Schizosaccharomyces pombe: one gene and its partners. The protein of the gene in region 1 purifies or fractionates together with the protein of each later gene. This does not show direct contact. Each region holds a gene or a part of one and is shown in the gene's direction. Other genes may lie near its edges. The genes, in order: gfh1, mod21, gtb1 and alp4.

Evidence for each region.
Region 2: the proteins of gfh1 (region 1) and mod21 purify together in Schizosaccharomyces pombe (affinity purification with western blotting, with the first as the bait; one study listed by BioGRID). This does not show direct contact.
Region 3: the proteins of gfh1 (region 1) and gtb1 purify together in Schizosaccharomyces pombe (affinity purification with western blotting, with the first as the bait; one study listed by BioGRID). This does not show direct contact.
Region 4: the proteins of gfh1 (region 1) and alp4 purify together in Schizosaccharomyces pombe (affinity purification with western blotting; 3 studies listed by BioGRID, with this or other methods). This does not show direct contact.

Annotation. Positions count from the first base shown.
Region 1 is NC_003423.3:3,880,291-3,887,821, forward strand, and holds gfh1 (gamma tubulin complex GCP4 subunit Gfh1), read left to right. Parts: upstream 1-3,559; 5' UTR 3,560-3,642; coding exon 3,643-5,376; 3' UTR 5,377-5,437; downstream 5,438-7,531. Other genes in the region: MCM complex subunit Mcm6, read right to left, coding at 28-2,706; sap10 (splicing factor 3B), read left to right, coding at 2,931-2,933, 2,996-3,078, 3,134-3,305; ubiquitin conjugating enzyme Ubc8, read right to left, coding at 5,722-6,276; exosome complex component mtr3, read right to left, coding at 7,177-7,531. UniProt on the Schizosaccharomyces pombe protein: Required for proper anchoring of astral microtubules at the spindle pole bodies (SPBs), during anaphase, ensuring correct cell polarity.
Region 2 is NC_003424.3:246,613-254,435, reverse strand, and holds mod21 (gamma tubulin complex GCP5 subunit Mod21), read left to right. Parts: upstream 1-3,509; 5' UTR 3,510-3,665; coding exon 3,666-3,829; exon of another isoform or gene 3,830-3,886; coding exon 3,887-5,756; 3' UTR 5,757-5,857; downstream 5,858-7,823. Other genes in the region: fatty acid elongase Elo1, read left to right, coding at 722-846, 1,684-2,044, 2,099-2,710; nucleoside diphosphate kinase Ndk1, read right to left, coding at 6,053-6,508. UniProt on the Schizosaccharomyces pombe protein: Component of the gamma-tubulin complex that is required for the regulation of both interphase microtubule organization and nucleation, and mitotic bipolar spindles. Required for correct septation.
Region 3 is NC_003423.3:2,789,374-2,797,726, forward strand, and holds gtb1 (gamma-tubulin Gtb1), read left to right. Parts: upstream 1-1,977; 5' UTR 1,978-2,096; coding exon 2,097-2,145; exon of another isoform or gene 2,146-2,207; coding exon 2,208-2,320; exon of another isoform or gene 2,321-2,369; coding exon 2,370-2,423; exon of another isoform or gene 2,424-2,492; coding exon 2,493-2,969; exon of another isoform or gene 2,970-3,013; coding exon 3,014-3,478; intron 3,479-3,528; coding exon 3,529-3,644; intron 3,645-3,702; coding exon 3,703-3,769; 3' UTR 3,770-3,848; coding exon of another isoform or gene 3,849-4,354; 3' UTR 4,355-4,445; coding exon of another isoform or gene 4,446-4,578; 3' UTR 4,579-4,639; coding exon of another isoform or gene 4,640-4,654; 3' UTR 4,655-4,811; downstream 4,812-8,353. Other genes in the region: H2O2 scavenger glutathione peroxidase Gpx1, read right to left, coding at 1-174; protein Cwf12, read right to left, coding at 3,849-4,354, 4,446-4,578, 4,640-4,654; P-TEFB-associated cyclin T Pch1, read left to right, coding at 5,593-5,771, 5,829-6,373, 6,417-6,721; SPOM_SPBC32F12.07C (MARCH family ubiquitin-protein ligase E3), read right to left, coding at 6,943-7,965. UniProt on the Schizosaccharomyces pombe protein: Tubulin is the major constituent of microtubules. The gamma chain is found at microtubule organizing centers (MTOC) such as the spindle poles or the centrosome, suggesting that it is involved in the minus-end nucleation of microtubule assembly.
Region 4 is NC_003423.3:2,520,268-2,528,898, forward strand, and holds alp4 (gamma tubulin complex GCP2 subunit Alp4), read left to right. Parts: upstream 1-3,793; coding exon 3,794-6,148; 3' UTR 6,149-6,867; downstream 6,868-8,631. Other genes in the region: Ran GTPase-binding protein Hba1, read right to left, coding at 1-503; UDP-glucose 4-epimerase Uge1, read right to left, coding at 1,356-2,357, 2,526-2,588, 2,656-2,658. UniProt on the Schizosaccharomyces pombe protein: Component of the gamma tubule complex that is required for the regulation of both interphase microtubules and mitotic bipolar spindles.

The DNA of each region.
Region 1 (7,531 bases):
AGAGATCGTTACGAATCTTTTATAACCTTAGTTCGGAACATCGCCATTGCTCAGTAGAGCATCAATGTCACAGTTAGGGTGTATTGAAAATACGCGTTCTTCAAAAGGAAGCCTCACGGCGCTGTCAGTTAAATTTTGAATTTCCATGATGATCGATTCGTGAACAAGCCTGGTTAATACCTTACGCACAAGACCAACCTCATAGATGATGTCTTCCTCGGTATGGAATTGGTCTTCCCTAAGCTCGAGATATGACTGAACTAGGTCTCCCGCTGGTACTCCATCTACACCTTCAGTAGAGCGCTGGCGTAAAACCTGTAATATTCCGTTCATAATCGAAACATATTTGTCGTAAGTAATTTTTACTTTTGGTTTCTGCAAAGCTTCTTCCGAAGAAACATTATCATTGCCATTTGTTGTATTAGTATTATCATTCTCAAGTTCTTGGGCCTCTGCATCATCTTCTTCAACCTCAATATCATCTCTTTCCACATGGATAATTGATTGACGTAATAAAGAGTATGCTTCGTTGACAAATGCAGGAGTAATATCATCTACACAGTTTGCTCTTGCAATGGCTTCTGATAGACGAATCATTGACTCCAGTTGTCGCACGGTAATACGATATGAATTTTTACCAGCACCTTGCGCGTCATCCATCCGCAATTGCTTGTACTTTTTAACAATTTCGGCACAAGATTCTGTATTTAACTTTGGTTTGAAAGTCCTTGCATATCTGATATATCGTTGAAGTTGCTCAGTACTAAATTCAGGTTGCATGGCATCATCCCGTAAACGATGAATGTCAACAATATGCTTAGCTAAATGTCTATCAACTGATTCATTGCACTCATCTAGTACAACGAAGAATAAATCAAACCGTGACATGATAGGAGCAGACATATTGATGTTATTCCGCAAAGTTGTTTTTCGGTTATAGCGGCCACCTATTGGATTTGCAGCAGCAAGGATAGATGTCCGTGCGTTTAATGTAGCTTGAATTCCAGCTTTTGCTATAGATATCGTTTGTTGTTCCATTGCTTCATGAATAGCAACTTGGTCTGACAGATCCATTTTATCGAATTCATCTATAGCACATATTCCATTGTCAGCCAACATTAAAGCGCCTGCTTCTATAGTAAAATCCCCAGTTTCTTCGTCCTTAACAACTGCAGCTGTGAGACCGGCCGCAGATGATGCCTTTCCAGAAGTGTAGATTGCACGAGGAAGAAAATTGCAAACGTATTTAAGAAATTGTGATTTCGAAGTACTGGGGTCGCCGACAATACAAATGTTCAGGTCGCCACGAAGATTTATACCTTCAGGAGTTAACTTGTGAACACCACCCATTAACTGTAAAAGAATCCCCTTCTTAATTATTTCATGACCATAAACAGAGGGAGCCAGTGAGTTTGTCAAACGAGAATAAATATGATCTGAATGCACCATCGCACGTAAATCATCAATTTCTTCTTGAGAAAGCGATTGCAAAAATTCATCTTGCTCTTCGATCCCTTGAGAACCATCCCCTCTGACATCCGCACCGCTTTTATCATTTGCATCATCTGGTTGAACCATGCAAGCTAAAAAAGATAGTTTATATGTAAGATCACGTACACCTAAAGACTTCAGTCCTGTCACACCATCTGCATCTCTACCACCAAAATTGCGAGAATCTCGATAAGCTTCTGGCTTTACACCAGGAATTCCTAGCTGTGAGACATCTGGAACGGCAATAAGAATTCCCGTAAATGCGCATTTGTCACCAGCCTTAGCCCTTTCAACAATATCTCCGCGCAAAATTACGTCCAAAGTTCGTGGCATAGAACCCGTAGGAATCTCGTTGCTATTTTCTTGAATGCGCACCTTTTGCCAGTCCTGAAAAGAAGACTGTGAAATATTGAGCCGCCAACTTCTTTTATTAGCACAAAGTTCATTAGGGCATTGAGTTGGTTCAGTATAGCGAAATGCTTGCTCAACATTTGAAACTACAGTGTGGCATTCCTCACAGATAAAAGTACCTTGTGCTAATTCAGGGCGTACTTCAGAAGTACGAGTAACTGTACCTGTAATAGTCGTGAGTCTACCGATACGATCTGTTCGTAAGTCCCGAATTGTGGATCGAAAGGGTAAATTGTAAAATGCAAGAGCAAATGTTTTGTCACTGGCTTTAAAGTTCGGTGAAAGTGAAGCATTTTCACGAGAAAGAGAACTTCTATAATATTCTGGTTCAAACTTTTCAATCAACTTTTGTAAAGCTCGAAGTAAGAAAGGAGAAAATCGATAATATTGCTCAACTATCGCAAGAGCTAACACATCATTGTACGAGGTTAAATGCTTATAATCAACGTAAACGGTATGAATCTCATACATTGCCAATCCATGAATCTGTTGAACATAATATTTCTCTTGTGATGCAGAAGGGAGAGCATCACCTCCAGCAACGCGGTCATCAGAAAATGACAATAAAAACTCTTCAAAGGCTTCACGTACTGATTCTCCGGTTGTATCAATTACCTTTGGTATGGCTTCTCCTATAGCAGCAAAAGGTTTCCTTTTCACCATTCCATCATCCTCGAGCATAGCACTCGACTCAGGTTGTGAAGGCATACTTACAGTTGGCCTGTCCCCAACTTCTGAAGTTTGAAACCCATAACGATATGCAGGAGTTGAAGCATTATTACCCTGAGATGCAAGAGAAGACATCTTCAAGTGTAGTGCTCCCTATTATCAAAAAACTGCAACTACAGGTTTTTGGTCAAAGGATAGCAATGTTTATTTTGAAACGTTTATTTCTGTGGTTGCTTTGGTGCGCTAGAAATCGCAATTTAGAATTGCAAATTACAGTATTATACCTTATTCGTTTCAATTAACAATATGTGTTAAAAAAACCCAGTCTGAACATTATACCACATATTCCAATATATACTATGGTAAGAAAAAAATTCTTGAATTATCTCTATTCTATGCTTCTTTCATTTATTAACGATTGTAGGCAGACAGGTTGCGCTCTCAAGCAAAACTAGAACAGTTACAAGCGCGTTATGTTGGTGTCGGTAATGCGTTTACCACCAAATAGTAAGTACTAATCGGTTTATTTGACAAATGAATTTTCGCTCACCATATAAACTAGTGAATGGATGGTAAATCAGCACCGGGATACTTTGTCTTCTGTAGTGGGGCATCCACCGTTGCTCGCATATATGGCAACGGCGCTCGGCGAACCGAGAGTCCAAGTTCGCAAAAACCTATTAGAAAAAATGATCATGCCATGTGGACCACCTCCCCCTTCTAATCAATTTTAAAGTGTTGTGTTTACCTGTTGCCCAAAATTAATGTCGTTAAACCTTCGCTCGTCTGAGACTTTGTTTGTTTAAGATAAACAGTACCTACTAGGTTATTACAAAATAATATATATATATATATATATATATATATATTAATTGAATTATATGCAATGCTACATTGATTATTGTTCATTGTAACAACGCAAGACATTCCCTAGTCGTTACCTTCAAAGTAACACGAATAAGTTTTAGCTATTTATCTCATTTACTACGAAAGCCTCCTTTGGAGTAGTTTACTTAAATTGGCTATATGTTGAATATTTTCATGCAAACTCTGTAACAATAAATACATTATATGTTGCATGAGATTATTTTGTTGCTCGCAGGGAATACTTCTGGCCTGTTTATTGAGAAAAATGGTCAAATACTACTGCATCCATCTGTTCAACCATTACACCCTGGTGAACGAGAATTAATTAATGACATAGTATCTTTGGCAAGTAAAAGGAAAAGGATAGAACGATATATTGAAATTTTTGATGAAGATTTGATTCAGCAAAACCAGTTTCTTCTTAAAGCTCTTAGACTTCTGCTTTCGAAAAAATTATTTCTTTATGATGAAAGTCTAGCTAATTTAGAGCGGATGATTATATCCAGCGATCCTTATTTTGTAGGTTCCGGAAAATTCGTATCCTTGGCGCAATTAGAAGCGCATTTAGCAGATTGGAAAGAAACTTTATCTAGTCTGCTAGTACTTCAAGGTAATATTTCTCAATGCTTGAGTGTAGCTTCTACGTTTCAAAAGCTGCATAATATGTATATGGGCTCTACTCATTTGAATTTTAAAAAGCTGGTTTTAGAGTGTGAATGTGCTTTTCAGAAGACTTGGCTTGACGAATTAGTGCAGTATTTGGTAAATGATTCCGGCGATGACAGCTTCAAATGTTCGTTTTTATGCGGTGATACTAAAGATTTTGTATCTTGTAGCAATAATGTCCCTTTTTTGACCCAAGACATCGTTAATTGCTTAGTTTCAATACGAACGTGTATGCTCAATGCAAAAAAATGTTTCACAGACGCTTTCTGTGAAATTCTTAGATGTTTCTACAGACTGGTATATGAAATGCCTTTGCCTTTAACGAAATCTTCAGTGACAAAATTAGCAGATGAAATGTTCACTCTGGTATCAGAAAAAATAATATTTCAATTAGCTTCGTTTCATCAGATTTTCGATTTGGTAAAAATGCTAGAGATGGTGATGTTACTTGAAAATGTTGAGTTTCTTCCAACATTATCTGAAATGTTCAGAGACGTTCGTGGTGAATATTGCAGTTCAAATGACGTTCAAGGGGTAGTAATTGATGATATTTTACCCGTTGTTTTAAGGAAAACTATTTCTTTACTTGATCTCGCTACTGAATATGGAGAATGTGTATCTTTTCTAAAACTTGTAAGTATCTTTGATGAAGAAGATGAAATGATTCGCTCTGAGAATCGTAAAATCGATGTAGAGGGACTCAATATGCAACTGTTATTGTGTTTAAAATGGCCGTTCAATTTGTTTATGGATAAAAATGCTTTAAATGTGTATTCCGATTTATGGATACTACTAGGTTCTTTACACTTAAGTATAACTAAAATCAAATCCCTTTTTTACGAAAGAAAGGAGTATACTGCCAAAGGTATTTCTCAACCATGGACTCAATTGTGGGTGACTTTATGGTTCTTATCATCTTTACAATATTATGCCTACGAATGTGTTATAAAGCCGTCATATTGTAAATTACGGGAATCTCTTACTGAGTTATATAGAACACAAAAGTTACGTATGCAAGACTGTTCTCAATTGCATGCTTTAACGTTGACTTACGCTAAGAAAATGTTGTTTTTTTACGATGATGATTTACACATTTCTTTAAACTCGATTTACCATGAGCTTTCTTTATTTCGTAGTCAAGAAGTTTCGAAAGTTGACTGTCAGTTAGCTGCTCACGTATCTCATTCGATTGAATGCATACGACAGAAAGAAAATGATCCATCGTATGATAGGGAAATAATTAACGCGCTGATTGTTCAGCTTAATTTATAGGTAGATATGATCAATGTATTTATTTAATATTTTTTTTCTATTTTATTTAAATATTAGTTCTCATTAACTATGCATCATGGAGTTATAGTCGTAAATTATGCTGCAGTAACTTGAAGCTTCAAGAAAATAAACCTATTAAATATCGTTGTCACGACTACTGATTGAAAGCAAATTCAAACGGGTTTTGCAAGCGACAGCATGCAAAAAGAATCATTCAATGCATCAATAGAAAAAAAAGTGTAACAGATTTAGCTATCCATCGGTTTATTGAATGCCACAATCAGTATCCATAAAGAGAATTCAAAAAAGAATCAATGTATATCAAACAAAGCAACGTAACGAAATTTAAAAATCAGAGTCCATTGGACCAGCAATTTCATCGCCAGATTCAGTGTCAATAGAAGACATGGTGTCATCATCTGAAGAGTCGTTCAAAGTTATATCAGCGTCTTCTTTATTAGCATACCGAGCGATATAATCTCGAACCTTGGCATAGTAGGTATTCGGCTCTCGCAATAATAGAGCTGCTGCCTCTCCATTTAGAGGGTCCGACGCATTAGGATAACGGAGTAGCTGTGGAAGAAAAACCTCAAAAATATTAATCATATCAAACATTGGAGACCAAGTTTGATTTATCACGTCCAAGCAAACACTTCCACTAAGCTCATCGATATTGGGATGAAATATACGATTTACAAATCCAATACTTGGAGATTTCCAAGGATACTCACTTGGCAGTTCAACATGAACTTTCCATATTCCACCTGAGTAAGGGGTTTCAGACGGTCCATGGAACCTAACGTAAAATTCTTGCATATTATCATTGACAAGAGTTACCTCGTAATCACTCATCAGCAGCTTCATAACGTCCGTCTCAATTCTGCGCCTTGGGCTCGACATTTTGATTTTTTATAGTTTTATTTCAAAACTAAAAAAGAACTCAATAATTTTAAGCTAGTGTAGTATTCAAATACGGTAATTTGCTGCAATAAAGGCAAATTCGCAAATTCAGCAGTTTTCGAGTAATTTTCAATAAAATCAAATTATTTTGGACTTTTGGAAAGATTCTTAGCTTCCGTTTTAAATGGTTCTATCCTATTGTCCGTGAATATATCAAATTTTTAAAAGCAACAACTAATAATCATCAATGACCTAATTTAAATGAAAGCAATTTTATTGTATAGAAGAATCCCCTCTTTATCGTCCTTCTTATTGTTAAATATATTTTAATTTACAAACGAGGCAATTGAGCATAAGTTTGGCTATGATGAAGACGCGGAATTTCGCTGATTTGGAGGTTATAAGAAGCAGGTAACAGTATGTGAGTAACAATGATTCTAGTACTACCAAGATGCTTTCGTCTCAATGCAGCTTGATAAATTAGTATCAAATATATGTATTAATAAAATCTCAGCATTTGTTTTGTTCTATTGGAATCGATAAATAGACTGGAAAAAATTGGAAAGAGTTAATCGTTTGGCTACTGAATATATTCGCGAGTGATAAAAACTAAGATCTTTAATTTAATATTTACTCGTATTTTTCATAACAAACGTAACTTGCGGATGGCCAAGCTGATTTCAAAGAAGAAAATCTACTTAGGGAAGTCATCTGCTTGTTTGTCGAGAAAAGATAGCGTCTCCCTTCAAATGTGTGTTAAGGAAAAAAAGGCAAAACTTGAGCATTGCCAACTAATAGAAGAGAATTTTAAAAAGAAATAAATTTGATTATGTAATTTGTAAAATTGGTATAAATATTAGCCATCAACAGAATATTATTATAGAGGTAGAATTCCAATATCTAAGGATCTTCGGATTTCGACTTCTCTAGTAGCAGTGCATGATTAATTACTAACCGAGTATCTTTGGCATTCTTTATGCATTTTTCCGTCAAAAACGAAAGGCGACTCGGAGAGCAAGTGCCTCTTTCCCATACTTGAGTAACGTGACCAAGAGAAGCCATGTACCCCATAACTACAGAACCTTTAGCAGCCCTTGCACGCTCATCCACATAATCAGGATCAATCCAATATTCATCCGTATTGGGATTAAATAATACACTCGAGCCCGTCACCAAATCTATGCAGTCGATGTTAGCATCAGCTATTGCACTTGATGCGCAACTTATAGCAGCAGCCAATGTTGCTAATGCACCG
Region 2 (7,823 bases), on another chromosome or scaffold:
TTTGCAGTGACCTTATTCTTATTGCTATAGCGTTATTATTGTTGAACGACACTAACTCATTGTTTGCATTCTTTGTGTATTCAAAGAAATAACAAGCAATCGTTTGGCTCATCATTTCATCCTTCTTCTTATAACACTCGAGAAACGTATTGAAGAAGACCTCCTTTTCCTCATTCACAGTTAAGTTTTTCTTAGTATCATACGTACCTACTTGTTCCAAGTACTCTTTTTGTGCGACTAAGCTCTTTTATTTTGTTGGCAAATCTTTGTTTACCAAGTCGATCCGTTGAATCCACGTTTTTTCAACTCCAAGCAGAGATCGAATCTCGTTTCCTTATTTCTCGATATCGTCAGGGATATTGTTATTTTATTTTTTCATCCCGTCCATCCATTCCCACGGTTTTTCTGTGATTGCAGTCTGTACAGTTTAACCCCTTACATACTCCTGGAACCTTCGTTTCTTTTTGTTTCAGCTTCCGTTCCTTATTCCCTTGCTTTGGAATAGTCTTTTTCTTTTTTCTTCCACCTACCCGCATCCCCTTCCTCGCTTTTTTTGTGCAAATATCACAACGCAGTGAGCGGGCTGAACTCATCCGTATTTTCATTTAAAGAACTCGATACCAAATTCTTAAACTTCGTCCGTATTTTACGGTATTATTTGTTTTCGTTACTTGCTAGTCTCCGCCATTTGTACCCTGCAAATCTCAAATACGTTTTCATTATGCCTGACTCACCTACCCTTCACCATAACCATATTATTGGGCTTGAGAACGGGTCTCTAACCTCTAACAATAATCATCAAGGCATGGCATCTGTTTCGGTAGGACAATTTCAGTATCCCATCTGGTGAGTTTGTCGATATTATGCCTCCGCTAAGCTATTTAACTGTTTTCCATGTTTGCCATAGCTTTGCTCACTAATGTGCCTACATAGTGATGCGTACGTGAATTTCTCTTCTAGAAGATGCTTGCTTTTTTTCCACACAAATCAATCAGTATATATTTTTCGTTTATCCTTGTTCAATGCCTTTCTACTTCCGGCGCTGTTTATTTTGAATTTTCTGAAATTTTGACTGTAGACCAGCCACTTTCTGTTTTGAGTTTTCTTTGTTTTTGACACTCTCCTACCAGCATACCGGTCTTTGTTGTCGTCCTTTCTTTGCTTACCGTTGTTACACTGTCGCTCGCTATATCGTTCCGTTCAGCATCCTCTGTTAGATATTCAATTGATAAAAAGCGGATCGGTATTTCTAGTTTTCGTTGTTGTTTTTTATCATTCCGTTGTTTATTAAGATCTCCACCATGTGGATGCTTAACGGTTCGTAAAGCGAGCTCTTAGCCAATCATTTTCGCTGACGGCCCGATAGACTCGGCAGAGTAGGTGGAATCAACAAGGGTGAAAATTTCGTTAGGTTTACTGAAATTTTTTTCATCCAAAACTTTTTCATCTCAAGTTAAACTCTGTGACTTTTTAGCTGATGTTGGATTGCTGGTATTACTGATTGATTGTGGAATGTTCATCTCTGGGGTGTGTCTTTTTTTGAGGCACATCATGTGTTACTTTTGTGTGTAGTCGTTAAGTACTACCAAACATGAAAGCAAGCGTCTGAAAGAACAATAGAAATTTCACTAGTTTTAATGCGATTGAGAGGCTTTCATGTTGATTTTTACTAACAATTTTTAGGTCATGGTTAAATTCCCTGGCAGATGCCACATTCGGAAAGCGGCCATCTTCCTTTGAATTTATCGTAAACAAAACCCGCTTTTCGTCCGCCCCGGTCGTTGCAACCATCATCATATCTTACTATCTTTTAATTCTTGTCGGAGGTAGAATTATGCGTAATAGGCAACCTATCCGTCTTCAAAAGATTTTCCAATATTATAATTTGACTTTTTCCATCGCTTCAGCTATCCTTGCACTTTTGATTTTTGAACAAGTAGCCCCTGCTATTTACAAGCACGGTTTTTTCTTTTCTATCTGCAATGAGAAAGCATGGACTCAACCGCTGGTATTTTTATACTACTGTGCTTATATTTCAAAATTCGTACGTCTCCATCGTTTTTTGACCATACTTTTTTCATTCTAACATACGTTTTAGCTTGAATTGACAGATACTTTTTTCCTTGTCCTCCGCAAAAAACCCCTTCAATTCCTTCATTGCTACCATCATGGTGCCACTGCCGTTCTTGTATATACTCAAATTGTTGGCAGAACTTCCATCAGTTGGTTGATCATTGAAATCAATTTATTGGTTCATGTTACTATGTATTATTACTACTATCTTGTAGCCAAAGGTATTCGGGTTCCTTGGAAGAAATGGGTCACCCGCTTTCAGATCGTTCAGTTCTTTGCTGATTTAGGTTTTATTTATTTCGCAGTATACACGGAGGTTGCGTATCGGTTGAAGTTTTACAAAGCCTGTATGGGCCATTGCTCAGGACATCCTTTAGCGGCGTTCTGTGGTCTCGCAACAATCTCTTCATACCTTGTTTTGTTTATCGTCTTTTACCATAACACTTACAAGAAAAATGCTGCTCTCAAAATGAAAGCTAAGGCTGCAGCTGCAACAAAAGGTAACTCATCAGAATCTTCTAAAAATGCGGACTTAAAGCGTCTCTCAAAAAGTAACGCTTCTATTGCCGAGGTTAAATGCAATAATATAGTTACTAATCTGTATCCTATTTCTTCAGGTTTAAACAATGAAAAATAATGTTTTCGTGGTACCTCTTATGGTTTTTAATTACCCGATTTTGCTCTTACTTATAACTTGATATTGAGCCCTAAAGTCTACAAGTGCCTTTTTTTTCTTTGTTCTGCTTAACGTTGCATTTAGAATTACCAATTAATAGTTGGAGTGACTTACGGGCGACGATTTTGTGAATTTTGAAAGTACTTAATTGTCCGTTAGCTTTACATCCTTGTCTATATTCGATTACTACCTTTTATCCAGTGAATCCTTTTTCCCATTCCTTAATCAAGATTTATCGACGTCTTTACATGTTCTAAACTTTTTAGCTAAACCTCTACTAAGTATAGATTTGTTAACTTCGTGGTATCTTAAGGTCAAACTTGATGGTGTGATAATATAATTAAAAAAATCAGAGCCAAAATCTTTTCTTCAATATAATGTTCTGAATCTTTTTTTCCAAAGATTAAAAGTCCATTTGTTTAATATTTTATATTAAAAAACCATGGTAATACTAATGCACAACTTATGAAAAATGGGTATAAATTAGTAAGAAAATATACGTTCTAATAACAGTACTACAGTTGTGTAAGGTTGGTAAATTTCTCTGTATAACTTGTAGTCATTGCAAGTGAGCATACGGAATTCATTATTTATTTTGAAGTTTTCTTACTATTTCAGTTAGGGAGCGGCGCCGGTTAATCTAATAACAGTAAATACGTTTAAAACAAAATATATTAGTTTTTTTTTTATTACTATTATAAATGACTTACACAGCTTAACGGCAAATAATGATTAACCCCCTTCAGTCATAAATTGACTCAACTCATTTCTCTCATGTCAAACAAAAATTTTCCTTCATTCGCGATAGTATACGAAATATACACTCCTTAATCGGCATTTTAGCAATATCAGCACATAATAAAGAACATATGAGAATACAGGCAAAGCTTAATAAATGTTTTATCAAGAACTGTAAATGACAATGTCTCGTGCGGATCAAATCCTACAGCATCTCTTAAGGGAACTAATACATAATGATTCATTAGTTGCTAGTGAATGGTTAAAACATTCAAAGAAAATCATTCAAAATGTCCCTAGTTCGACATTGGTATTTCATGAAATGATAGAACATATAAAAGGGTAACGTAAAGCAGATCTGCCGATTGTTGTTGGAATGTTAAGACTAACTTGATCTAGCATCTGTGACAAAATGGGTATACAAGGTCGGGAAGATTTAGAAATGCCTTTACGAAACGCTTGTGAAGTTCTCAATCGTCAAACCGTTAGTGTCAAGCAAAGTATATTGCATGCCCAAATATTAAAACTTTTCCTTGAATTATCTAAACCACCCTCAGATATACATGTCCCACAAATTCCCGTCTACAAAGATTGCAACAAGAATGAACAAGAAGCTATAATCCAGTTATTAACTAGTTGTGAAGGAGACCACTGGTTGATGCCTGACTGGTCTTCAATGCCTGATGATGAAACCATAACAGAAGACTCTGAGGAAGAAACTTTCAATGGAAATGCTAATGAAATTACGATACCAGCCAACATCCACATCCCTATCATCGAGGAGTCTGACAACGCGTCTAACAATAAGCTATGTACTTTATTTAAAAAAAGCAAGCAACCGAATTTAGATTTTTTACAGATAAAACCCTTTATGTTTTGGGATTCTAGTTTGAACGAAACTGTCCGAATATCTGAAAGAAGTATTATTCGCGACTCTATATATATGTTGATAGGTTATCCAAGTTTTTTCTTCTTAAAAAATGGTTCAAAAATTGAAACACGACTTTCTTTATTACCAAAGCTTCATCACATGAGCGAAGAGATTCTTCGCAGTATAATGACAGAACTTGCCGATTACGGTTCTAACTTGGAATTTTTTCGACAAAAACTAACATCTCCTAGCGATTCGTTTTTTAAAAGTGATGACCAAAGTACCAAGAATGAGCCGTTTCTCTCTGTTGTCTTCATTTATCCTCAAATAAAACCACATCTCTTAAGTTGTTTAAAAAACACACACCAAGAGCTTATTAAACTCGAAACAGAAGTTTATAACGCTACAAAGAACTGTACTCTTTTTCAATTTTTTCAACATGTAAAAAAATTCGTTGATCCACTATTGTGCTTTCGTTTCGCTTACGAAAAATCAGCAACGAATATGTGGGATTTTGTTAAAACATTGGAGTTCATATATTCAACAAGGAATTACTCTTCACAAATGTTCAAGCTCTATAAAGCTTCTGCTATTGCAATGTTATTGTGGATGGTTAATCAAGCCTCACAAATTACCAGTTCTATGACTATAGCCAGGCCTCTATATAACATTTTAATCCTTTGTAAGGATTTTCCTAACAATTTCCTTGAGAAAGACAATATTGCTCTCCAATTGGGTAGTATTGTTTTTGACCAATCTCCAACTCTAAACAATTTACTTGTGGAAATGGAAATATTAATTAGAAGCAAAATTTTAAAGCTTGGTAAATCTTTGGATTTATCTTTTGACTTTCAAAGTTTAATGGGGGAGTTTGAAAATTTAATAAAACAACAAGAAGAAGCTAAAAAGTCGTTATGGTCAAAAAGATTTAGTCGTTTCTATTATGGGCATTATGTATTCGTCAACACCTGTCATAATTTTTTCCTAACACTATATCAATCTTTTACTGAAGTTGATGAAAATTCTATATTCAACGGCGTTTTTGAAACGCTTAATAATGATGTTGATGATGAATCTGTAATAGGGGAAAAAGAGAAACTTATTTTAAAGCAAAAGCAGAAATGTTTATCTGAATTTTTTGTTGATGACATAAAGAAGCTCTTAAATGAAGAGCTGCTCAATTGTCAAAAGCAAGAGCTACCAGATGTCATGGAAAATACATATCAAATTTCGACCGTTTCAGGAATTAAAAATGATCCGTTATTTACGTTGGACCAAACCTGTAATATAATAGCGAAACTAGCGGACAATCTCATACATCCTTCTGTTCCCATTGGTAGTTCTGCCTATCGATGTAGACGAAATTTGGCTGACTTATTATTCCTTATAATGCCATGATTACGATAAAATGCCATAATATTTACCATTACGTGTATAGAATCAATAGATTTCATAAAAGTAACCTTTTGGATGAGTAAAACCATACTGACTTACATGCGATTTCTCTAGTTTCATGTCGTTTACTAACGAATGATATTTGAAAAAGACCTATATCTATTAAAAAAAATGATAGTGTGCTTTAATGAAGGTAGAAAATCATTAGTCATATTTATTTGCTTTGGGTGTTGCTGATAGTTTGCATCACCCATAACAAACACGAGTCCTTTTGAAGAGGCTCTTTAACTTCTTCTTATTCATTCGTAAATCCAAGGTTCAATTGTACGATCGTAAACTTGGATTTCCGAAGGCTGGAACCAAAGTTTAATTTCACGATTAGCGCTTTCTATGGAATCAGAACCATGGCAAACGTTTCTACCAAGGTCGATACCATAATCACCGCGAATAGTGCCAGGGGCAGAATCCAGAGGGTTACTGGCGCCCAACATTAAGCGACCAGTTTTCACGGCTTGTTTACCTTCCCATATCATGGCACATACAGGGCCTGATGCCATGAAACCAACGAGTTTCTCATAAAAAGGCTTTCCTTTATGTTCGGCATAATGTTCTTCCACAAGATCACGACTAGGAACTAAAAATTTTAGAGCACGTAGTTTGTAGCCCTTCAACTCAAATTTTGAGATGATGTATCCAATCAGTCCTCGCTGAACTGCGTCCGGTTTCACAGCGATAAAAGTTTGTTCTGTCGACATATCAAAAATGCTTATACTCGGTGATATGAGGTGGTTGAGTAGATGGGAGCTGTCCCGTCTACTATCCCATATAAAGGATTACGGAGCAAGGACAAATAACACTCACAATATGATTGCATAAACAAAGCGGAAACAGATGTAAATAATAAAAAATGATAAGAATCGTTATAGTACACCTTCTTATATTTTTAGAGCACCAAGCCTCAGATATCTTAATGGTCGTAAATTATTGTTTACAAAAAATGCATATTTACAAACACATTACAAAGCATTCAAAGCGTACCCGTAGACGGTAAGCCAGTTTTGTTTTTTTACATACGTAAAAACTCTCCACAAATCAAAAGATTGTAAGGCTTATTGTATACTATATAATGGATTTGTTATTATCCCAATCGCCAACTTCTTACTGTTTTAGGACCATGTAACGAATGAAACCACTAATAAAAGTTAGAAGAACTTGTAATTGATACCAACTTAGTATTGGGATACCTGCAAAATTTGATTATCAACCAGTTGATAATAGATACAATTCCAAGTACATCTACATCACTTCATGCAAACGGTTTTTTCCGTACATATATTAGTTATCCCTATACATATAATTGTTAACATTGTCTTGATATACGAATAAGGCTTTTATGATTATTCCTAGAGTTTTATCCTTGTTTGCGAATTTATGTATATTCGTAATGGCATATACTCGAAAATCCGGGATTTAGATAAGCTTAAATCATTATATGTCTATCTAATGAGCATGACAGCCGTCTCACAATTTTACTCATAAACGGACGAGGGATAAGTTGTTTTTCTTAACAATTCAGTTGTAGTATCATCACTTTTTATTTACATTCTTTTCGAGCGCTGTTTATCTGCACATTAAGTCACCATTGTACGCATAACCATTATACCACCAAAAACGCAAAAAATATCAGTTTAAGCTGTAGGTTGTTAAAAAGAACCGTTTTCCTTTCAAAAAGGTTTACCTTTAATATTTATTATTGATATTAGTGACAAGAGGCACTGAATATCAGTTTTGAGCCAACTTTGAGGACATAAAAGTGCTTAGATCGGGAAACGTTTCTTTTGCGATTCGTCGTCAAATTTCCTCTTTTCTTTTCTTTTTTATTTCAATTCTTTTTATAGGTTATCCTTCATTCTTTTTCTACAACTGTTATTCGAGAGTTGCACTAAGAAATCACAAGTAATTCCAACCAAATTTAGACGCTGGTTATACATTATCGTTTTTCCATACCTAAAGGGTAATTTTAATTTTTTTCCTTCGTTTCCCATATCCTACTTTGCTATTCATTTTTCT
Region 3 (8,353 bases), 1.1 Mb from region 1:
GATAAATCCTCTATCCTTGTATTTCTGATACAACGCCTCAAGACCTTTGTATTGAGGAGTGAATCCACATTTGCTCGCTGTATTGACAACAAGGACCACTTTACCCTTCAAGTTGCTGAAAGGAAAAGGATTTCCATCCTTGTCCTTAGGAGCCAAGTCGTAGAAATGAGACATTTTAACTTACAAAACTCAATACTAATAGAATGAGTAGGTTGAAAGTAAGGTGTAGCGCGGCTGACCGTCCTACTTATGTTTCCAGCTGACCTTATTTCATAATGACATCAGACCTTAGTTTGGGTCAACACGATCTTTTAACAAGAGAAATTTACGTAAAATTAATAAAAATTCCAAGGAAGAAAAGTCGGATCGCATTTATCAAAAGAAATCTTATTTATTTAATCAGTCTCACATTCTTTTTCCTTTGTTTGCTGCTTTTAAAGTTAAAAAAAGGATATGTCGCAGTATACTGCCATTGTCTTTTGTCAACATACCACCAAAATGACAGAAATTTTTGCTGCTATTTAGTAAAAATATTTCAAATTTCGTATTTGTAAAGGTTATGCATAGAATGGCTGAGACTCATACTTAAACAGTATAGGTATCTAAACATTGTATGGGGCGATTGTAGCAGCAAACGATTAAGTAGTTTGCGTTAGTTACAACACCTAGTAATGGTTTGCTACCTTTTGTTTAAAATAATAGTAGACGAGATTGCCAATGGCCGATGTTGTTTATCTTAAAGTTGAAAGTGAAGCGAAACCTTTTTCTAACTTTAAGAGTGGGATTTCTTCCATCCAAAAGAATATGCACTGCAACAAGATATAGGACACAGGCAAATTATTTGACAAAAACAAGGAACCGTATAACTACTTTTTTACTTTAATCTACAAATAAATTAGTAGGATGTAGAAAAAGGTATCAGTGATAGATTATTTATGTATTATCTTAAAAGTATTGTTTTTTGCCCTTTGAAGGGCAAAAAGCAAAAAGGATCAAAATTATGCTCCAGCAGTGACTTGAACACTGGGCCTCTTGCTTACTAGGCAAGCGCTCTACCACTGAGCTACAAGAGCTAGTTGGAATCATTTGCTAAAAGGTATATATATATGCATAACTATTAAGAAATGCTCAGTATTTTTTTGAAATAGAAAATGTTGATATTCGGTTTCTATTATTAAGTTTTAAATTCCAAACATTGTAAATATGTCGTCGTTCTTTACATTCTTTTTTTAATAAATCTTGGTTTAAGTTAAAACCCAATTTTACAAGCTCGCAACTTTGTTGTTAATAAAAAAAAATGTTACACCTGCTAAATAAATATTAAAATCAAACTGTTGTTGTGTGGTATTACCTTATTGAGCTTAATTATAATTTCAGTAAAAATTTATGTTCAATTTTTTTTTTTACTTTCAATTAATTTATTTATTTATTAATTTGTAAAATATTTAGACCTTTGCCAAATAATTATTTGTTAATTTTTCATTTTCTACAATCTGTATTAATTAAGATAAAATTGTCTTCAAAAATACTTTTAGTTTTTGGAAAATCATTTGTTTCAGTGTTTGAGTATCCACATGAATTGTCTAATTTTATATCACTATTATTTTTTTATTCGAACACTCATAAATTGTGTCTATTGTGTTACTTTCAATTTTAATATTTACATTCAAAGTTGCATATATTTTTTACGAAATAATGTACTAAATGATTTAGAAATATTTAGATACGATAGTAATCAATACTAAATTTTATGACACATTCTAAATTCACTTACTTTGGCTTTCTAATTTCCTGTTAGAAAAATTGTCATTCCTAATTGAATTTTGCAGCAATGCTCGAATCAGCTCCAAGGTTGATAAATTTATAGTCAAGAAATATGTAATTATTTATAATAATCTAGTCTAGTTGACCTGGAAAATGTTTGCTTTTCTTACTACCAACCTTCTCTTATCGACCTACAGTTCACCCAAGCACAGCGAAATACCTCAAGATACCCTTCTTTTGAAAACCACCTATTTCAGCAAAAAATCTTTCGCGGTTGTACTTTTAAGTAAGAAGCAAACATCAAAGATTGTTTGCTCCTTCATTGTTTAATCATGGGCAGAGAAATCATTACGTTACAAGCTGGTCAATGTGGTAATCAAAGTATGTTCACCTATACTACTATTAATCAAATCGAAATTCTAATTACTCACAAACTTGTCTAGTTGGTTCACAATTCTGGCAACAGTTGTGTTTGGAACATGGCATTGGGCCTGATGGCACGCTAGAAAGTTTCGCAACTGAGGGTGTTGATCGAAAAGACGTTTTTTTCTACCAGGTTGGTTTATTGATACACTTTAAAGTTTCAACATGTTAACTCATTTTAGTCTGATGATACTAGATACATTCCTAGAGCCATTTTGATTGATCTGGAACCAAGAGTATGTTATCGCATCCTTTTATTAGTATTTGCTGAAATATTCAAGTGACTAATGTCCTCTTTACCTTAGGTGGTCAACAATATTCTAAGCGACACCTACGGCAGCCTTTATAATCCCGAAAATATACTTATTACCAAAAATGGAGGAGGTGCTGGCAATAATTGGGCTAATGGTTATTCGCATGCTGAGAGGATTTTTGAAGATATAATGGACATGATAGATCGTGAAGCTGATGGAAGTGATTCTCTAGAGGGTTTCTCGCTTTTACATTCTATCGCTGGTGGAACGGGTTCTGGGCTGGGCTCTTTCTTGCTTGAGAGATTAAACGATCGTTATCCCAAGAAGATTATCCAAACTTATTCAGTATTCCCTAATAGTCAATCCGTATCAGATGTTGTGGTTCAGCCTTACAACAGTCTTCTTGCATTGAAGCGACTGACATTGAATGCTGATTCTGTTGTTGTGTTGGACAATGCAGCACTTGCTCATATTGCTGCTGATCGGTTACATACTCAGAACCCTACGTTTCATCAACAAAACCAATTGGTAATTGATTTATATTAGGTCTTTTCATCAACTAACTATTCTAGGTTTCAACTGTTATGTCTGCCAGTACAACAACTTTAAGATATCCTGGCTACATGAACAACGATCTTGTCAGTATAATAGCTTCATTAATTCCAAGTCCTCGCTGTCACTTTTTACTAACCTCATACACTCCTTTTACCAATCAGCAAGTGGAAGAAGCAAAGGCCATTCGGAAAACTACCGTGCTTGATGTGATGAGAAGGTTGTTGTTGCCTAAAAACCAGATGGTTTCCGTCAATCCTAGCAAAAAGAGTTGCTTTATTAGTATTTTGGATATCATTCAAGGAGAAGCAGATCCGGCGGACGTTCACAAATCCTTGCTTCGCATAAGAGAACGACGATACGCTTCATTCATTCCTTGGGGACCAGCAAGTATACAAGTTGCACTTTCTAAAAAGTCGCCCTATATAAAAACGAACCACCGTGTTAGTGGACTTATGCTTGCAAATCACACTAGTATTGCCTCTGTATGTTTCTGCAAATTTTTTTTTGAGACATTTAATACTAATCTTTGTAGTTATTCAAGAGAACACTAGATCAATATGATCGTTTGCGGAAACGAAATGCCTTTTTAGAGCAATATAAAAAGGAGGCTATTTTCGAAGATGATCTTAACGAATTCGATTCTTCTCGGTAAGTATCTTGTCTTATAATTTCATATTTTGAGTTAATTTACTAATGTATTTGACAGCGACGTCGTTGCCGACTTGATCAATGAATACGAAGCTTGTGAAGATCCCAATTATTTATCTCTTTAAAAAATCCTTCATAGTTTACGATGTCAAAGCAGACTTAAAATATAAAATTAATTCTCCTATCCTAGTCCTACTTCATAATCTATGAAATTCTGCTCAGCAAAGCATTTTTACGCCTTTCTAAAAGAATGGCTTCAACATCGTCTCTAGTTGGTATTTGCTCAATGACAAGAGGTTTCCAATCTTGTTCAACTTCATCACCAAGGTTCTCAAGATGTTTATGTTGTTGTTCTTCAATCTTTGCCTCAAAATCTTCTAATAGACTCTCTTGTGCTGGCGGTATGTAACCAAAGTACCAGGCGTCTAACCTTCTTTTCTGCATCTCCTGTTTGCGCTGTCTTTCCGGTATAAAACTCATATCAGCTTCAAAAAGTTCCTTAACGCCAGGTAACTCTCGAGCTCTTCCGTAATAACGATAATCGTCTATATCACTGATTTGTTCTCCTTCATCCTCAAATAGCTTTGCTTTATTATACAGATAATTAATCCCACCCAGATCACGAATTTGTACCTCCCATTCGTGTTTTTCACGCATCAATCGATTAATTGCATCGTTCAAATCTCGAATTTGATATTCAGGCAACGTTGCTATTCATGGTTAGAATACACAGAAATGATAAAAGCGGAATCAAGTTTAGCAAGTTAATTAAATTTGCTAATAAAACAATCTAGGACGTACCACTTTGAATTCGAGAGATCTTGCGAGAGATATCTTTTACTACACTAGCCCTATGTTTTTCACATATCGGCACAGACTTAATGCTTTTTATATCCTTGGGTCTCTTTTCCGTTGGTTTGCTGCCCACTACATACTATAACAAAGGGGTTAGTGACTGACGCTTAGGTTCTCATGCATATTCGTATGAACCTTACTTTCGCTGATGACATTGTAAAATTAAATGAAAATGATAGACTTGGTAATTAAAAAAATAGAGAAGGAAAGGCTCATTAAAATTTGACACAGAAAATAAATAATATAGACAAGTTTTATGGTATTTATCGAAATCAAGGCAAACCCAACACTTAATTAATTGACCTTCAACAGCCAATTCTTATTTAAGTACTTGAAAATTTGCTCAAGTTCCACCGATTGTGAAGACAAGCAAAAAACTTATAAGCAAGAAATTGAATGCATACAAGTAGTTATTTCGTGTAAGAAACACTTTATAAAACGGAAAAGAACAGCCAAAGTGAATAAGCTTATTGAAGCGCAACAAGCTTCTTAATTCATGGATAACGAAGTCCTCTTCTAAAAAAAGTACTAGTCTAAATAGTAACTAAGTATTTTATGTTCACTACAATTAAAGGATGATATTATTGCATAAATGGTCCCTTTCAAAATGATTACCACTTTTAATCCATCGTATTCAATATACTGTCAAGAATTAGGCAATTGTTGATGAAGTAGGTAACATCAATCATTTGGAAAAGTTCATTTCATCTCTTTGGTATCGGCTTTAACCTAAAAAAGAGTTGTTTATAAGAGATTAGCAGAACGATTTATAAGTATACAGTTGATTTTTTGAATATCTTACAAAGACTTAAAATTAAACAATCGTTGAGACCGTCAAAATCGTTAAAACTGACTTACGAATTATTCTAATAATCACTATATTCAATCAACGTAAATGGACAAGCATCGTTGTGGTAGATTTCCCCCTGAAAGATAGTAACCACCCTCCATTCTTCGCATTCTTTAGTTGAGGTATGTTAATTATATACTAAATGATTTACTGTTCTTTGATTTTGCTTATTCTTGCTCAATTATAGTTTGTTTTTAATAATTTGGCGACGGTAATCTCATATATAAAATCGATGAATTTCACATGAGTGAAGTAATAAAATCTGTACCCCCGGGCTCTCAAAACACTTCTCAGTGGATAATAAGTAAAGATCAGTTGGTATTTACTCCATCTGCATTAGATGGGATACCTTTAGATCAAGAAGAAATTCAAAGATCTAAAGGATGCAATTTCATTATAAATGTCGGGCTGAGATTAAAACTGTACGTTAATTACGATGTATCAGTTCAGTAAATTAATGAAACTAACAATAATAACAGACCTCAAACTGCGCTTGCTACTGCTAACATCTATTTCCATCGATTTTATCTTCGATTCTCACTCAAAAATTATCATTATTATGAAGTTGCTGCTACTTGCATTTTCTTGGCAACCAAGGTTGAGGATTCCGTTCGTAAACTTCGCGATATTGTAATTAACTGTGCAAAGGTTGCTCAAAAAAACAGCAATGTTTTGGTTGACGAGCAAACCAAAGAATACTGGCGGTGGAGAGATGTTATCTTGTACACAGAGGAAGTACTGTTAGAAGCTTTATGCTTTGACTTTACGGTTGAACATCCATATCCTTACGTCCTAAGTTTTATCAAAAAATTCGTGGCTGATGATAAAAATGTCACTAAGGTTGCTTGGACATACATTAACGATAGCACTAGAAGTATCGCATGTCTACTTTACTCTCCGAAAACTATAGCTGCTGCAGCATTCCAATTTGCATTAGAAAAGAACGAAATAAATCTCTCTACTACGACTGATGGGCTTCCGGTATGGATGGAAGAGTCTCAAGTTTCTTATGAAGACGTTAAAGGTATATTATATATTTTTTTATAGCCTTAGCACTAACAATGCAGGAGTGTTGACACTAATCGACTCGTTATACAAAAAGATAAACCCTTCCAAACAAGCCCTTCCAATCGACCAAAAAAACGGATCTCATGCTTCCAGCGTAGCTCCTGGGACACCGTCGTCATTGGCTTCCGTCTCGACACAAGCTACCCCTCAACATCAAAATTCATCAGGAAGAACTGACTCATTTCATTCCCTAAACACAGAAACCCCATCAAAAAGTACGGTGGACGACCAAATACTGTCGACAGCCGCCCAGCCAAAAAAATCATCTGATACAGATAAAGAGATGGAGACGGAAGCTTCATAAAAAAGAAAAATAATTCCAGATTGGAAATTTTATAAGTTATAAAAATTATTAATGCTATCAGCATCTTTATATTTATTTTTGGATTCGAATAAATCGATAACACGGTTTTAGAATATTGCTCGTAATAAAAGGCTTAAATTAAGTTCATGAGTATTTTTAAAAAGTAAATGCGTGAAAGAAATATTGCCGGAACTTAACAGTTTGACAACTTCATTGTTTGCTTATGAGTCAGAAACTCTACGAGGATTGTCGAGAATTCGAATGCTCCAGGGTTTTCTCTTTCTCCAAGCAATGAAACCATAGACAAAAATGTCCTTAAAAACTAATGCAGCAAAGGCACCAATAATGCTCTTCTCTAACTTTGTGAAATTCCCTGGAATAAACCTTCCCAAAAATTTCCCTGCTAATGGGAATAGTAGAATCGGTCGAACAATACGGAGAATTTTCGTAGTAAAAGCATCAAGGAAAACGTGTGCCACAGACAAAAGAATCCAAAATTCAGATTCTGTATCTTCTCTTTCGTTTACATCCTCGACTTGGTTACGATGCTCTACTTGTGCTTCAAACTGGCGAAACCAATCAGTTTCAGAATCTTCAAATTCCCCGTCCGCTCCAATTACAATACCGTCAAATATACGGGTCATTAGTTCCTTATATAAAGATCTTACCCAAGGCAGAGTGCACAGTAGAAGTGAGGTATTCGAAATCTTTTCCGCGCAACTATAAATTGAAAAATGCGTGTAGAGACTAAATGCTATATCATAAGGCGGAGCTTCGTAGAACCGAACCAACATGCATGGTAATAAAGGCAATACGACAGAGGAGAAAACTGGCTTTTTTAACATTTCTATCAGGCTGCTTTCATCTGCCACCTGTTTACATATCCATATTCCAGTCTGTTTGAATATTGAATAAATAAACTTGGTAATACCTAAACAAGAACCTACACCAAACGTTACTTGAGCTAGACCAGCTTCAAGGGAATGACCGATTCCAAGAACGTTTACAGCCCAAGACTTTTCCTTTGGCGGTTTAGCAATTCTATATGCGGTAAGACATTGAGGACAACGAGTACTGCCAGATCTGGTAATGTAAGAAATCAAACAACTTTCATGAGCAATGAGTGAACACCGACACGGACGTCTCCAAGAATCATTTGAAAGGGAGCATAGTTTTTTGTCGTATTCCTCATAGCATATCCAGCAGCGAGCACTGCTTTTCTCATACTTCGCGGTGTCCGTCATTTAGCAGAACCTCGGGGTTTTCCAATACAAAAAAGAAAATTTAGAATAAATAAAATAAACGCTTAACGTCAATGTTTCAAAACAAAATAGGTTTTAAAATATAGGCATTTTCCTGAACAAATTCTAACATAAAGATAGTTCAGTACTTTCTCATAAGTTTAGGAGCCTTAGTAATTAAAAAGATTGGGTATTGAAAGTAAAGTTGAAAGTGTGGAATGAACAATATAATTTAAATGATATGAGTAAAAAAGCTGTTTACAATTACTTGTGTAGCTTTTTTAATGCAAACGATTTTAGAATAAACTTCAAATCCCTAAAACTATCGTAAAGTAGTTCGTTTTGAGCGATTGGACGGATTCGTGGTGAAAGGTGGTTGAGTGGTTTCACG
Region 4 (8,631 bases), 1.4 Mb from region 1:
GATTTCTCTTCTTTTGGTTCAGAGGAGGCGGTTGAAACATTGGAGAATGGAGACGAGGCATTAGAGAATGAAGCAAATTGTGAAAAGGGAGAAACACTCGCGGCAGGCTTAGCAGCCGATTCTTTTTTGCCTGTCTCTACAGCTACGTGTCCCTCATTTTCATCAACATCCTTATTCACCTTCAATTCTTTTTCTTCTACCTTACCTCCAGTTGAGATACATGGCTCCGTGTTTGATTCCTTTTGGATTTTAGTAGACTCAGTAATCTCAACCTCCGGTTTTACGCCATTGCTCTTCGTAGTCTCTTTAAATTCCTTAACTTCAGCATTCCCTTTATCTTCCAGCGGTTCACTCTTCGAGACTTTAGTGGAAACCGCTGATTCTTCTTCTGCCGGATCGTGCTTTCGCTTTGAAGTTTCGTCTTTTGTTTCGTTCGATTTTTCTTCTAACGCATTTTTGGTAGAAATGCTTTCATCTTTATTATTTTCCATTTTGCTGGTCATTATATCCACTTAAATATTATTTGCTTAATCGTATTTTCGTAATTTTTGATGTTGGGGGTATTAAGTGTAGTTTGGAATCCCGAATCACTGAAAGCCTAATATATTTCACCTAGCTATGAGTACATGAGGACGAATGTGGATTCAATCAAACACACAGCTGTTTAAAGATTTAAGATTTAATTATACGATTACATTCATTGAACAGCTGCGAATAATTTAAATTCATTTGAAAAAAAACGCTAATCTAGCATGTCATGAAGTGCAAATCTCATAACTGTCTATTTAAAAAGTTAAAAAACATTCAACCTTGGTATATATTCACTTACTCATTATTAATAATTTTGATTTCAATACGGTGCTTGACTTCTAATCTTCGGCTAACGTAAAAGTTATAGACAGTATTATAACAAGTATTATTGTAAAATCTAAGCTATATCGAAATAGGAATTGAAAATGATTGACAAAGTAGAACCTTTGAATAAAAAAATACAATTAAAAGGTGAAATATAAAGAAACTTCAATATTAGAAAAAATGTCAACTTGACGAAAATGCGTATGCAAAAGAAAGAAATAAAAATGTAAACCGAAAGTGATTGTTTTGAAATAAGCTTCATTGTTAAATCCCTTTTAAAACATAAGTTATTCGCAAACCGGTATTATTAGCGACCTAATCGATAGCTCGAGCGCACTTACAATAAACAATTAAGGTACAGGAAAGGGAAAAGGGTTCATCAAACAATACATTATAATGTCTTTGAATCCATAAGTCCTAAAACATATTATGCAAATTTGAATCAAGAAAGAGAAGGAAATTATTTAAAACCCACTTAATCCGAAAAGGAAGAGTATGGTTTACTTATATGTCTTGGTATGGGTCAGGTCAAAGCCATAGGGATACTTCTGTTGCCATCTCCAAGTGTCAACGCAAATTTCATAAATGCTACGACTGGTTTTCCATTTTAACTCCTCGTTAGCGCGAGTGGGGTTGGCGGTTAGGTTAACAACGTCCCCTGCTCTTCTAGGGGTGACCTTATAAGGAAGATCTCTTCCAACAGCTTTCGAAAACGCATTGAGCACCTGAAAAACAGTACTACCAGTTCCTGATCCCAAATTCCAAGGGCGGCAACTAACAAAATGTTGGCGCAGGTAATCGAGAGCAGCAACATGAGCCTCTGCCAAATCGCATACGTGAATGTAGTCACGAATTGGAGTACCGTCAGATGTGGGATAATCGTCGCCAAATACATTCAAATGATCCAATCTTCCTACAGCAACTTGCGCGATATAAGGAAGCAAGTTATTAGGGATGCCAAGAGGATCTTCACCGAGTTCACCAGAGGGATGAGCACCTCCGGGATTAAAATAGCGTAATAAAGCTGCATTAAGCGATTTGTTCACCTTGGTCTCATCCTCAATGATATTTTCAATGAAAAGCTTTGTGCGACCATATGGGCTTGTACCTTCACGAGGGCATGACTCTGGAATAGGAATGGTACCACCAGGTCTAGTAGGATCGCCATACACGGTAGCAGATGAAGAAAAGACGAAGTCACGTACATTATACTTCTTCATGCACTCTATTAAATTAATGGTACCGGAAATGTTATTTTTGTAATAACTCAAAGGAACCTGTACAGATTCACCAACTGCTTTGAGACCAGCAAAATGAATGACAGCAGATATGTTTTGATTTGCGAAGACCTTGTCCAAAGCTGGCTCATCAAGCAAATCCACCTGGTGGAATATGACTTTTTTCCCAGTGAGTTTTTCAATGCGGTGCACGGCTTCAACGCGAGAATTGCATAAATTATCGACAATTACAACATCATATCCTTTTTCTAACAAAACAACGCACTATTGCAGATTGTGGTTAGCAAAATATCTCAAAAAAGAGCTTTATAGAATATGGACGAAATTGTATAAAAGTAAAGAGCAGCAAGCTATATTCACAAAAGATGCGTGCTTAAAACATTTACATGTACATTACTAATCCTCTTCTGTATCTTCAAGCTCTCTACGTACCGTATGAGAACCTATATAACCAGCGCCGCCAGTAACCAACACAGTCCCTTCATGAACACCAGTCTATGAATCATAATTAGTATTTTCATACAAAAGAATGCTTTTGATTAATTAAAAAAGTTATTCATACCATTTTACACGTTATAATTTGATATTAAAGGGGTGGGCTCAAGACTGTAGCTATTATGCTCTTTCTTTGTTGGATATTCAGTTTCCTACATGCTCAAGGTATCAATGCAGGTCGTTACCTCCTGTAACCTGACATGATGTAAAACGAGCAAAAGCCACAATGAAGCTTAAGCTAAAAGTGAAAAGTGCTTGTATATCTCGCTAAACCATTTTATTGATATATCGCTAAAAAATTCCTAATCATAATATTATATAGTAACAAAGAGGTCGTCGGAATAAGTGTATAGCAGATGAATGCCTGTGATTAGGTGTATGGATTTTTCATGTTCATAAAGCATTGAGGTAGTAATTTAATGTATGTGCATTTACCAATAAATTTTTTTTTTGTATTTATTTTTTTAAAAGATGAACTCGAGATTTTACAACCAATATACACTTTGATAGATGTAATGTTTGTGATTTCACCACCAGCTTCATGCGACTACAAAATCCTTGCTTCCCTAGAAAAGCATTTTATCTGTAAATAAATCATTGATGCTTATATGTATTTTTGAAAAAATTTATTTTGTTAAAGAAATAACAAGTAAATGTATAATTAACATAAAACCGAGCTAAATTTATTGCTTTTATTATGCAAATATTACCTACTGGCTAGTAAATAAAGCGAAGTAGTCTGCATTAGAATAAAAAATTTAAACACAACAAAAAAAAAAAAAAAAAAAAAAAAAAAAAGATGAAGGGAATAAATCCCTCAAGCTTAGGATCTAAAATTTTTATCCATTCAAAATAAACTCTAGCATATAGAATTTGTCACTGTCTACTGCTATCCATATATACTCGAATGAGTATTTGGGGTCCTTTGAGTTTACGGTAGTCTTACAATAGAAAATGCTGCAGTCTTCTAGTTATGTATTTTTTGACTAATTTTTTTTATACTTTTTTGCATTTTTTAATGCTACACGGACCTGAGTTGGTTTGCTTTGAAATTGCGTTGATTGTTAGCTGGCGCATACTTACCAACCTACATCTTAAAACTGGCCTGCTGGTAAACAAGCATATCCGAATAATAATTACAAAGAGCACTAAATATTAAATAAATGTTCACACTTTTGTAGATTATATAAAAAAAGACTCTTTAAATGGTGAGATCGATTAGTTCGGTGCTTGCTAAAGAAGAAAGCGAGAATGGGAGTCCAATTCCAGCTCTCGAGGAAGGGAGCGTTTATCATGTCTCTTTGAAGAGTGAAGGTGTTTCTCCATTTTCTGATAGGATTCAATTAAATTATCTTTACGATGGGAAGACTTTTAGCGATCCTTCGAACTTAAATATCCATCAGCAGGAAGCATGTCTCATAAACGAACTCTTAAATGCATTTATGGGCATGGAGGGTGTATTTGTACATCTCCAAGACATGAAAGCATCCTCTGAGTTTGAAACCATTATTATGCCGCCATCGTTTTATATTCTTCCTGGATTTGATTTAGGTATAAAGGATATTGCTTCTGAGATGTTAGAGATGGGGTCTCATTATTTAAGTATCACAGCTTTTATAGAATCGAGAAGCCATTTTGAATACGGATTTGTTAACCACGCATTGTGCGCTGCTTTGCGAAAGTTTGTGATGGACTACGTGGTACTTATCATGCAGTGTGAAAATCAGAGCCGAATTGATCCAAATTTTTCTCTTCAAACTCTTCGCCTTTATACTCTTCCCACATCGCGTTCATTACGACAAGTGTATTTAATTCTACGTGACCTGCTTTTGTCTATGGAAAAGAATGCTTCCAGCAGCGATGATTTAGGTCTTAGTAACATCGACGATCTTTTAGAGCAACTTAATGAAGGAAATGACATTTCACATGTTGTTAATGCCACTAGGTCTAAGAAAAAGGTTTGTAAAGGTGGGCAAGTCATTTCTTTTTTGACCGAAAGTCTTACGAAATATGCGGGTGATCCTGTGGCACGAAAAATCCTAACCTATTTATTGCGCGAAGCTTCACGCCCTTATACAAAAATGTTGAATGAGTGGATCCATCTCGGGCTCGTAAATGACCCATATGATGAATTTATGATAAAAATACACAAAGGAATCACATCTATGCAACTTGATGAAGACTACACAGATGAATATTGGGAAAAACGATACGTGATTCGAGAGGATCAAGTTCCTCCACAATTGCTTGATTTACAAAACAAGGTACTCTTTGCAGGCAAGTATTTGAACGTCGTTTTAGAGTGTAGGAAGGGAGTTAATAACCTGGCTTCGTTAAATGCAAAAGACGATACTCAAAACCAGTTGCTCTGGCCTTCAACCTTCGATGATGATAACTTTACTTTAAATATCATGAATGCCTATGTTTATGCAAATGAATCTCTCTTGCAATTACTCCAGTCTTCACAGTCTCTTTACGCTCATCTGTACTCGCTCAAACATTATTTTTTCCTTGATCAATCTGACTTTTTTACAACATTTCTTGACAATGCTCAACACGAGCTACGAAAACCTGCAAAGTATATATCTATCACGAAGTTGCAGTCGCAATTAGATTTAGCCCTTCGTCAGCCTGGTACGATAACTGCGACTGATCCACATAAAGAATACGTGACTGTAGAAGTGAATCAAACATCATTAATAGACTGGCTCATGCATATTGTAAGTATCAGTGGTTTGGAAGAAGGAACATCATCTCAGGGAAACGAAGTTTGGAATGAATCAATCACGAAGCAAGCGGATGTGGGCAATGAAACTCGAAATTTTGAGAGTGAACACAATCGGAGCACACAGGGGACTTCAAAAGTTGGTAGCGATAAAGATATTAATGGATTTGAAACGATGCAACTATGCTATAAAGTTCCATTTCCCCTTTCACTTATTTTATCCCGCAAAGCTATTATTCGATATCAACTTTTGTTCAGATATTTTCTTTTACTTCGTCACGTTGAAATGCAACTTGAGAATAGTTGGGTGCAGCACAGCAAGAATAGTGCTTGGCGTCTCAATTCCTCCAATGCGAAAATCGAACAATGGAAAAGGAACAGCTGGTTATTAAGGACACGAATGCTTAGTTTTGTTCAAAAAATAATCTACTATACTACAAGTGAGGTGATTGAAACACATTGGGGGAAATTTATGGGAGAACTTGAGAACGCCCGAACTGTGGATAATTTAATGCAGGAGCATATCGATTTTTTGGATACGTGTCTAAAAGAATGCATGCTTACTAACTCGCGATTACTTAAAGTACAATCTAAATTACTTAATACTTGTGCTATGTTTGCCTCTTATACTTCCACGTTTACCCGATCCTTATATTTGCTTGAGAATTCCGAAGAAAGCTTTGATGAAGGAAGAATGGATAAGATGGAAGAAATTTTACGCCGGTACGAAGACAGTTTTAGTCGTCATTTAAAATCCTTAGTGAATGCTTGTAACTACTTTGCAAGTACTGAGACGGCGGCTCTTTTAAGTTTAGTAATGAAATTGACGGGATAACTAAGAAGAGACAAGATAAAACAAGGCAAGGTAGAAAAACTACAAATGGAACAACGTTACTATTGTTTTATTGAGATATGAAGAAACATCTGACAAACAGCAATGGAAATTGGGAGAAAAACTTTTATGGATATTTATATAGTCGGTTTTTGGATAACCTTATCTTTGACATCTTGTTGCTTGTACTCGTTAATAAAGAAATGACTTGGAGTGAGGATCTTGCGGAATGGCCAATTATCTTCATAAACAAGCATTGCTTATCCGCAGTATACATTGGTCCATTTTCAGTAGTTTGGACTTTTTTTTGGCCAGTTGTCACACTAAAAGCGTACTGCACTATTCGGTTAAAAATTGACAAAAAGACGACTGCCATTGGCCATGAATTTAAGAATGATTATGGAGAAAGGCATGGCGAGCGTTTAATATGCCAACACTTGTGTTATATAAAAAATAATCGATTTTTTAAAATGTCTGAAACAGGGTTTGCTGATAATGCCTGAGGAATGGTAACTTGGATTTTTGATCGCTAATTTTTTATTAGCTATGTCGCTAAATTTAAGGCAAGTCGGCAGTATGCCGCGTGATTGAGGAAGAACGAAGAGAGAGGCTAAGCATTTGTTCCTAGTCTAAAGAGCTATCGATTGATTTTGAAGTGATACAATGTATGCTAACGTTTGTACCATAGACAGCTATAGTAATGAACTTTGTTATGTGAAGAAGTACAGTTGCTACGACAGTAATGATGATGATGTATGTATATAAAAACCAAACCAAGGTTTAATTTAGGTGGTTATAGTATTGTATACGCAAAACTATTCATTTGTGTGCACTCGTAATGAATTTCTAGTAATTGTATTTTGCAGTTAAAAGTTTAATGGATGCGTAAACAAAGGAACAGGTAAGCTAGTAAAGCGCATACAAAAATTGTAATATCGAAGGAAAACGTCAATTTAGATTAGTGTAGGATGGTTATTACGAAAGGATAGAGTTACTATGAAAAGTGAGTACAGATTGTATGATTAAGTATGGGGGCGATAGCTGGGTGTGAGGCAAAGGAATCATATGACTTTAGAATTATCGCATCAAGGAGTAAGAAAAACGAAAACTTATCTCACAGTGGATTGCCCAAAATTATCAATCCCCCACCATGTAAGAGGAAACAAGAGAAACAGAGAGAGGGAGAAAGAAATAATTAGAAACTAGCAAATATACTTTACAGATTACAAATGGACACGATAAGTAAGTTAAGATGAAATAAAGGGGAAGATAACAAGGAACGGAATATAAAAGAGCATTTCGAACCGAATGAAACATTTTAAGCCGAATGTATTGAAATCGAAATATTTGAATTGAGAGATTTTTATTTTATCTGACTAATGATGAGAAAGGATAGAAGAGAACAAATAGAATAGAAATAGAACTAAAGATAAAAAATATGAGAACCAAAATAGCAAAACAAAAAAAGCTAAATACTAGGTAATTAATAAAAAAAAATTTAAAAAAGGATTTCTAGTAAGCGTACTACTAAAACAAGTTTAAGGATTTGATGAAAGATTGTATGTTAGAAAAATTTTCATCCTCTTTTTTTTTTTTTTTTTCTTCAAACTTCATACAAACGTAAATATCTCTCAAATTTTGCAATACCGTCCTCTTCTTCCTCGTCGATTTAGATCCGAAATTCTCCTTGGCAGCAGGGGACGGAAAATGAAATAAAGTGTTTTAGCAATTGGGATCGCGAAACCACCTGCTAGAAAGTGTTTAGGAAGAGAGTCGCCGTTCGAAACATAGCGATAACGAGTTCAAGAGCAGTATCCGTAAATTCAGAGGATTAGTGAGTGCCAACACTTCTTATAGATTACGGATAGTAAGCAGTAGTAGATGAAGGATGATGGATAGGTGGATGATCGGGGTGGGAGAAAGTAGGGAGACAGAAGGAAAATGGAATGTAGCTAACTGATAATGAAGAGAGAGAGAGAAAGATTATTTCGTAGATAAAATTTGGTGAGCTTTGACAAGATAAGTTTTGTTGGAAAAATTATGAAAGTATGCAAGAGTGTGAAGAGTAAACAAAAAAGAAAAAGAGACGTTATAAGAGGAAGGATGAGTTTGATGATCTTTTAATATCTAACGAACATAAAAAACTAATGAATGTAATAATTAATAAATGAAGCAAACTAGCGAATGCAACACCACCTATTGATTGCTTTATTTATTTATTTTTTTGCTTGACAAATACCCTTTGGATTTACTCACTATCCATCTTATCCACCGTAGGGGCCATAGTAGACTCGCCTTTCGGCAGCCTTAAAAACGCTACCCTATGTTTCGGGTTTAGGGTGTGAATACGCTATCCATCTAAGGGTCCGTTCGTTTATCACACCCAAATCTTGATGTCGAGGATCTCAGTCTTCAACGTCACCATCTGAAAATTTACTCTTGTTGGGTTGTTTCGCCCGACAAGACTAGACCTAGCAATGACAAGC